2 linked regions of the Caenorhabditis elegans genome follow. The protein of the gene in region 1 purifies or fractionates together with the protein of each later gene. This does not show direct contact. Each region holds a gene or a part of one and is shown in the gene's direction. Other genes may lie near its edges.

Region 1 (5,284 bases):
ATTTTTGTAGAACAAGCGTCCCTTTCTCGTACCTGTTAGTTACAATAGTCATTTTGGCGTGATCTTCGGTGTTTTGTTTATCGATACAGTGCGAATTCAAAATGCAAATATTCCCGATTTTTATCCAGAACAAAAAATAAGTCACTGGCTGATTTTTCGTTGCCTTTTGCATTAAGGAGTACTGTAGTTTCCAGATCCGTCGTTGGTCGTTTTATAGTAAATAAGTTTTTCAATAAATTTTGAGAAAACAAGAGAAAAGCTATTGAAATCAAAATTAAAAATTTCTATGTAGTTCTACCACAACAAGGATGCTCTAGTTGGGAACTTTAGTGCTCGTTGAGACGCACACTCGTTTGCTTTTGATAAATCGATCCTGTCGAAACCCAACACAGTATTTTCTGAGAAAAATATACATATTGCATCTGGGTACAACTTGGTCCAGAAAAGTTACAATGTAATTGTTTTTCTATTTTCCCACGATCACTTTACATTTTCCGTTCCCTTACATAAATTTTCACCTATAAAAATGAACAAACATGGATCGACCGAACTGACGACCCGGGGCGGAGAGCGGGCAAAGCGAGGAAGAGAGTGAGAGCGTTTTGTGAGCGAGCGTCAGGCCAGGCAGTCAGCTGAGTGTCTCTGCCTCCCCACTCACGTTCGATTTCTCGTGTACTTCTTGCCCGTGACCCGTTGTGAGATGTCTCACGTTTTAGTCTTTTTTATCTTGTTTAATTGCCCCATTTCACTTTCAAGTACTCATTTATTACTTTTTTCGTTTTTTGGATAGTTATTTTTCCAAAATTAATTTTTGATTGAAAATATAAAGAATCTACATTCTAATTTAATCAAACAATTTTCTTCATAATTGTTTTTGAACCCCGTGAAAAATGTATAAAGATTCAAAGTCAAATCAAAGATATAGGCGTATTGCGTGACCAAACATTTTCTCGTTTTCCCTTCCCAGCAGCCACCGAGTGAGTGTTTTTCTACCACAGCAATGTGAGCGAATGTGAGCGTCAAAAGAGAGTGTCTTTTTCTCTTTTTTTTGCATTTTCGTCTAAAAGTAGAAACGAAGATAAATGAAAGGGCTGAATGAGGGCTGGATGGACCCGATGACCGCTGAAAAGTGCATTGTTCAGAACTGGAATATGGGAATATTTCGGGGGAAAAAGTATTAGGCAACGAGAAAAACAATCATTCGTGTCTAAATACCTGCCGTAGGTGTAAACAAGACGGAATGGAAGATGGATGATACGAAGTAAATATTGACTCCGTGGTTTACATTTTCAGCTGAAAATACTTACGGCTCTTAGAAATAGGCTTGATACGCATAGATTTTATACCGAAAAATGTTCAGTGTACCAGGAAAATTTAGACAATTTCTTTCAGAAAACTTTGCAAAGCTTATTATTAGTTACAATTGTTATAAAATGAAGAATGCCAAAAATCAAGTTTTATATTGAAAGTCAAATAGGCATGAGGCAGGTATGTAGGCATGAAACTTTGCCTGCCTATAATGGAAGACATAAACGAGTGAACACGAAATAAAGTAGTGAACACGAAATTTTAAAAAAAAAAAGGCAGATTTTCTACAAACCTACCACTTTTTCCATTCTTGGAACTCCCCTTCTTGGCCCTCTTCCAATATTCAAGTGCGAAAAAGACTGAAACAGTGGCCCCTCTAGTGTCAAATGTCTGCCGATTCCATTGTTCTCGTTCTATTTCACTGCCTCCCCTATTGTGTTCTTTCTCCCATCACCCAATACTCTCTTTTTAGTCTTCTTTTTCTTCTAAATACTATCGGCTGGTGTTGTAGAAGAGCGTCTTTCCTTTCATTCTTTTGGCATGCATCCTCATCCCTCTTCATTATTATTATTATGATTATTATATGGCATTGCTTCAGGCAGCCAGTTTCACATCACAAAAAGTGTCAAATTTTCAGGTAATTGGTAGACTGAAGACTACTCGCGGCGGTCCGACAAGACGACGACGACCAGCACAAGATCAGCGCGGTCCTCTTCAATACCATCCACGTCGAGACACGTCGAACGCGAAACAGTCAAACTGTTTGACAGAACCCTCAAATCACTCCCTTCACACATTCTTTTTACGGGTAATTTCAGACATTTTTGGGTGGAATGCAAAGTTTTAAAACGTTTTTCTTATGATTATTTGTATGGGTAGCTTTTTGAAAGAAGCCTCTAAAAAATTTCAGGCGCGCTCTGACGGAAACTTGACGGCGATGTTTAATATTCAAAGTTTCTCTACGTCTCCCGAGTTTAAAAATTTTATATTCTTGGTCTTGATGCGCAGTTTGGATTGGAGCCTACATTTCGTTTTTGAAAAGTGTATTTTAAAACAGGCCCACAATCATGATTATCTTGATTGTTTAATTTTAGTCACGAGACCATCTCAATTTTTGAATAACGGTGACCTTTTGTCAAAAGAAAATTTCAAAGGATTCCACAATCTATTTCAATTTCGTCTTTTTAGACCGAATCTTCTTTGAACAATTATGCGTTCAGCAAAAATGAAAATTGGCTGCGAACACGAACAAGATTCGTCTGACCATGTCCACGTGGCGGGCTTCACTCGGGAACACAATTTTGGTTTTTTGTCTCAAGGTTCTGAAACTTTCGAAAAAAAGCACACACTTTGCAAAATGCTTTTTTTTTGAAAAAAAAACCAAAATCAGCATTTTTGGATTTTCACTTTTTTCTCAAAATTTTCCTTCGTTTTTTTTTTGGAAAGAAATCAGTTTTCAAAACTGAAATTCAATGAAAAAAAAAACACTTTTTTGTTGCATCAACATTTTCGGATTGCCACATTTTGCTCTAAATTGTTCTTGATTTTTTTTGGACAAAAAATGTTTTCAGAATAGATAATAGTTTAAAATTCAGTTCAAAAAACAAAATAGAAGCAAATCCTGTTGTTGCAGGTATTTCAAAACTCTCGTGCTCTATTTCTCAGGACATTTGGCCTTCCTTTTGCAAGATATCTGAATTTTATTTTGTAAGTGTTTCTCGGAAATTATTCAGAATGAAAAACCAGATTCCCATTTCTATTTCGGACATAAACCAAATTAAAAATTTATTTTCTTTCGAGCCAGTTCCCCGGACTTGATTCGAATTCGTGAAGTAGAGCTAGCCCGATGGCTCATATTTTTAGAACATCTTGAATTAAGTGTGATGTTACACTGTATTGTGAATTTTAATATTAATTAATTAAAATTATTTGAATATTTAAATTCAAACTTTTCCATTTTTCAATGTTGACTATTTGGGAAACACACAGTAGTTGAAAACCCTACTAAACATATTAATCAAGTCGTATACAACAATTTATCAAAACTTTAATATTCAGACCATCTGAATTTAAAATGTCACTAAACGGATTCGGCGAGCACACGAGATCTGCCTCACATGCCGGATCATGGTACAACGCCAACCAGCGAGATCTTGATCGGCAACTCACAAAATGGCTTGACAACGCCGGTCCACGGATTGGAACGGCTCGAGCGTTGATTTCACCGTAATACTCTAAATGCATTTAATATTTATTTTCTGATAACTTTCAGACATGCGGGATATTCGTATTGTGGAGAAACAGCTGCATATGCTTTCAAACAAGTTGTTTCATCAGCAGTGTGAGTTGTTGAAATTTGTACTTGGCAACAGGGCTTACTCAATAACTTTCAGTGAAAGAGTCTTCATTCTTGGCCCATCTCACGTTGTTGCTCTAAATGGATGTGCTATAACCACATGCAGCAAGTACAGAACTCCACTCGGCGACTTGATCGTTGATCACAAAAGTAATCTATTGCACTCTTAGTACATCTTTTACAACATTGCCCTTTGCAGTTAACGAGGAGCTTCGTGCCACTCGTCATTTCGATTTGATGGATCGCCGAGATGAAGAATCAGAGCATAGTATTGAAATGCAACTCCCATTTATTGCAAAGGTTATGGGTTCAAAACGTTACACCATTGTTCCGGTACTTGTTGGATCTTTACCAGGATCTAGGCAGCAAACGTATGGAAATATTTTTGCTCATTACATGGAGGATCCAAGAAACTTGTTTGTGATCTCTTCGGACTTTTGCCATTGGGGAGAACGCTTCAGCTTTTCTCCGTACGATCGTCATAGTTCTATTCCGATTTATGAGCAGATAACCAATATGGATAAGCAGGGAATGAGCGCAATTGAGACGCTTAATCCGGCAGCTTTTAATGACTACCTCAAAAAGACCCAGAACACGATTTGTGGGCGTAATCCGATATTGATAATGCTGCAAGCAGCCGAACATTTCCGGATCAGTAACAATCACACTCACGAGTTTAGATTCTTGCATTACACACAATCAAACAAGGTAGAGATTCAGAATTGCTTAATATTTTTCAATCAACAATAAATCCATTTCAGGTTCGATCATCGGTCGATTCTTCTGTTTCTTATGCTTCAGGAGTTCTATTTGTACATCCAAACTGACATCCCGCCAGTCCTTCACTCTTTTTTCTACGTATTTTCTTTTGCAACTACTGTCTTCTTCCTGAATTGTTGTGTAATATGTGTAAATTGAAAATCTGTTTATAGGCTCTTTTCTCCTTCTATTCAGGATTCGAGCACAGTTAATTGTGTTACTTCATCAACTTTTCACCTCCACCTAAATTTTCGAATTTTCTCCCATTCCGATTGAAAACTTTCGAACTATTCAAATGATATTTCCAACTTTATTGTGATTGGCAAATAAACAATTAATTCACATTTCAGCTTTAATATACAGAAATCTTTAAAGCTAGACCCTCCATTATTTAATGGGACCGTAGACAATGTAGGTGGGCTTGGTACCATTGACACCATCCAAATCCTTATCAGCAGCTCCCGAGAAGAATGAGCTAGCATCGACAATGTTCACCTCTTGCTCGGCGATTGGAGTTGCGTACGCTAGTATGAATTTCCCATCGATTTCTATTTTACAGTTCAGGTCACCGGCAAAATTAATTTTTGCGACGAAGTCCGAATGAGCAGCGACTGATTCGAAAGTTGTTCCGAATTTTTTTTCGGCTTGCTGAAATTTGGTGGATATTTTAAGCTTATTCAAGTTGTAATTCAAGTCGTAATTCAAGTTGTAAGCTTATTCAATTCTAGGGAAGAGCACATTACATTATAAAATGAAATCCATAAACCCCACCGCTTGCACTGCAGTTGCCATTTTCTGTACATTGCACAGTGATGCACCATCTGCTTTTGCGGCCAGGTACGCGTCTTCCATAGTTTTCTC
Region 2 (3,035 bases), on another chromosome or scaffold:
GTCAGCACTGCACCAATTCCAGTAGACAATATTACCGACCCACATGCCAGACGAACAGCAGAACTCGTAATTTTCGAATCAGAATTATTTGAACTTTAAAAACAGTTTTTCAGAGAAACGCAGAACTGGAAAAGCTTCAAAAAGCGAAGGAGCTCGAGCAACGAACTAGGGTTGAATGTCAACAGGCTCTTGACCAATACGATGTACTGAAAAAAATCCCAACATTGACGGAACAAGAACGGAAAGAAAACGAGACGCTCACCAAAAAGAAAATAGCTAAAGCCATTATTGCTGCACAAAAAGCTTCTCAAGCTGTGATGGATGCACGTGTAATTATGGGAGCCAAAGGCGAGGAACTGACAAAGTGAAAATAATTGATTTGTCTGTTAAAATTTCTAAATTATTGAAATTTTATAATTAATAGGTCTCAATCTGATGCAGTCTTTCCATATGAACATTGTTGCATTGTCTTAATTCTGACATGGTCTTGGTACATTGTCTGTCCAACATTTCAAAGCAAAATATCATTATTTGGGAAAATCTTTAAAAGCATTTATATGTTGTTAAAATGACCCAATATCAAAACGCAAAACGTTAGAAAAAAATTATCTATGAGCAGTTAGTTCGATGATATTGGTTGAAAACTCAGTTAAATATGACTATACTTTTGTAAGTCGGCCAAAACATGTTTTTTTGAATTTTCGCCAATTTTTAACCATGTTTTAAATAGTTGTCATTGACCAATATAGAAATTTTAAACCTGCTGCATCGCTTCCATTTTTTTTTCAAAAAATTTACTTAAAAAAGGCCAGTTACCAAAACTTCGATTGAAAATTTTGAATTCCCTATTCACAATGGGAGATCAGAAGCAAAGACAAGGAAATGAAAAATTATATCAACACTTTTCCCATAGGGAGTGAATTAATTTTGACTCTTAAAGCTAGACAATGTGCGAATATTTTGAATGTTACCACATGATAAGTTTTTTGTTAGAGTTATGCGATATTGAGTCATAAATCGGTTATAATATCATACAAAGGATCTTAGGTTTCTAGGGAAGTTAATAGAAACAGTCTATGCGGGAAAATCTGAAACGGAATGAATAACCTCACGTTCAAAGATATAGTTGCAAAAAAATATTAAATGTTGTTTCAAACCGCTCCGAATACAAATGCCACAAGTCCTTTCATAATTTTCAGAAACAATAAAGTTTTATCTAAAACTAATCCATTGCCTCGAACCTCTCGGTAAATCTAGTGGACACTATTTTGTTAAACAACTTTTACTTACTATGAATCTAAACTTATTTGATGACTATTTTTGCAGTCTTACAAAATTGAATAAGTTGAACAACATTATTTTTCCAGATGAACATCAGAGCGGAATAAAACACTGAAACGTTGTGGAAACTAAATACTACCGCCGAAACAGTAATATATTTCTGGAAAAAAATAAACACCTACTTCTCTTACTTTGTGGTATTTTTACTCGAAAACAGTTATATATTCAAAATATAGTTTCATTAATTTTTTAAATTCATGTTTATGTCGTGGCGTGGCAATAATACTAAATGTTTATATTAACTTGAAAGTTCGCAAAAAATTGATCATAAACGAGTTTATATTTGTACATTACCTACTCGTTCTATCCAAAGAAAGTTTAAATATATTTACAAATAACAACGTAAGTTGACGTTATTCTAAATGTCATACATCTGGATCGTTAAAAAACAGTTATCATGCATTGCAACATAGTATAAATGTTTAGTACATTCCTGCAAGCCGGACAATTTTCCTATTTATCACGAGTTTAATGCATATGTTGTCGATCTGTAACCTTTTTTCTATTCCATACATTATGCTCTCCGCTTTCGACGCTGCTTCTTATCAAATGGTCAAGTAATCAAAATTGGGAAGTTTTTGCTATAAATGCGCCCCTATCACCGCGTGCTCTTTCAATTCTTCCTTGCGTTTTGATGCTTCAGTGTTTCATTTCAATTTATTTTATTACAGAATGAAGACTCTTCTTGTACTAGCCGTTTTGGTCGCCGTTGCCTCAGGACTTGCCATCCCAGAAAATAGAAGCGCATTGAGCTGTCAAATGTGTGAGTTGGTTGTCAAGAAATACGAAGGATCCGCCGATAAGGATGCCAATGTCATCAAGAAGGTAATAAATCCGTGCTAGAAAAAAACCAACAACTCTTGAATATTCTAGGATTTCGATGCTGAATGCAAGAAGCTTTTCCACACCATCCCATTCGGAACCAGAGAATGCGATCATTACGTCAACAGCAAGGTAGACCCAATCATTCACGAGCTGGAAGGAGGAACCGCTCCAAAGGATGTGTGCACCAAGCTTAACGAATGCCCATAAACGGATCATTGAAATTTTTACTTGTTTGAAACTTTTACCAATAAATTTTCGATTTTTAAAAGTTTCAACCAGAATTTTGATAAATATAGAATAATTGTGACCAGAAATGTATTGGACCTTATTTTTTAGAAAGGGCCTCAAGTCTAATAACGAATCATAATAGTACTGATAAGGACTGTAATCCAAAAAGCTTCAATCCAGGAGAGTGGGGAACAATTGAAAAAATGTGTATCATTATGATTTTAGAGTTTGGAACTTGCCCGGTCTGCACACCATGTACACGTGACTGTTATTGCTTGAAACGCTGAAAGCTCGTTGCAAGCTTTTCTTGAGTTTCTAGAATTATCTTGAAGCTTGAAAGCTTTTCGCGCACAATTATTGATTGAACAGCGAAAAATGAGTACACTTTTTTCAAAACCTTTGATACTTTTTTGACACATTAGGAGTTTGGTTTGATAAGTTTTCTTTGTGAAATTGTCCTGCCCTGGACACCTAATTTTTACAGATAACAACATACAATTTCAGGGAAGTGCCGCGTCTTGATGATTTGCAATATATAATACCTGTAACTTTTTCACAATTATCGAAACTGTGATCACGTGAAATCACATAATATTCCGTTTATCTACGGATACAACAGAAAATTAAGTTCAATAGATCAA

Evidence for each region.
Region 2: the proteins of memo-1 (region 1) and spp-5 fractionate together in Caenorhabditis elegans (co-fractionation; one large-scale study listed by BioGRID). This does not show direct contact.

What each region holds. Positions count from the first base shown.
Region 1 is NC_003283.11:7,843,826-7,849,109, reverse strand, and holds memo-1 (Protein memo-1 homolog), read left to right. Parts: upstream 1-2,116; intron 2,117-2,496; 5' UTR 2,497-2,573; coding exon 2,574-2,627; intron 2,628-2,941; coding exon 2,942-3,015; intron 3,016-3,366; coding exon 3,367-3,534; intron 3,535-3,580; coding exon 3,581-3,649; intron 3,650-3,701; coding exon 3,702-3,814; intron 3,815-3,863; coding exon 3,864-4,372; intron 4,373-4,425; coding exon 4,426-4,491; downstream 4,492-5,284. Other genes in the region: grd-8 (Ground-like domain-containing protein), read right to left, coding at 4,811-5,071, 5,195-5,284. UniProt on the Caenorhabditis elegans protein: Plays a role in the oxidative stress response and the maintenance of longevity by regulating the interaction between GTPase rho-1 and oxidase bli-3. In turn, this serves to modulate bli-3 activity and the control of reactive oxygen species production.
Region 2 is NC_003284.9:7,319,332-7,322,366, reverse strand, and holds spp-5 (Saposin B-type domain-containing protein), read left to right. Parts: upstream 1-2,012; 5' UTR 2,013-2,013; coding exon 2,014-2,166; intron 2,167-2,214; coding exon 2,215-2,373; 3' UTR 2,374-2,430; downstream 2,431-3,035. Other genes in the region: T08A9.13 (uncharacterized protein), read left to right, coding at 1-66, 114-368.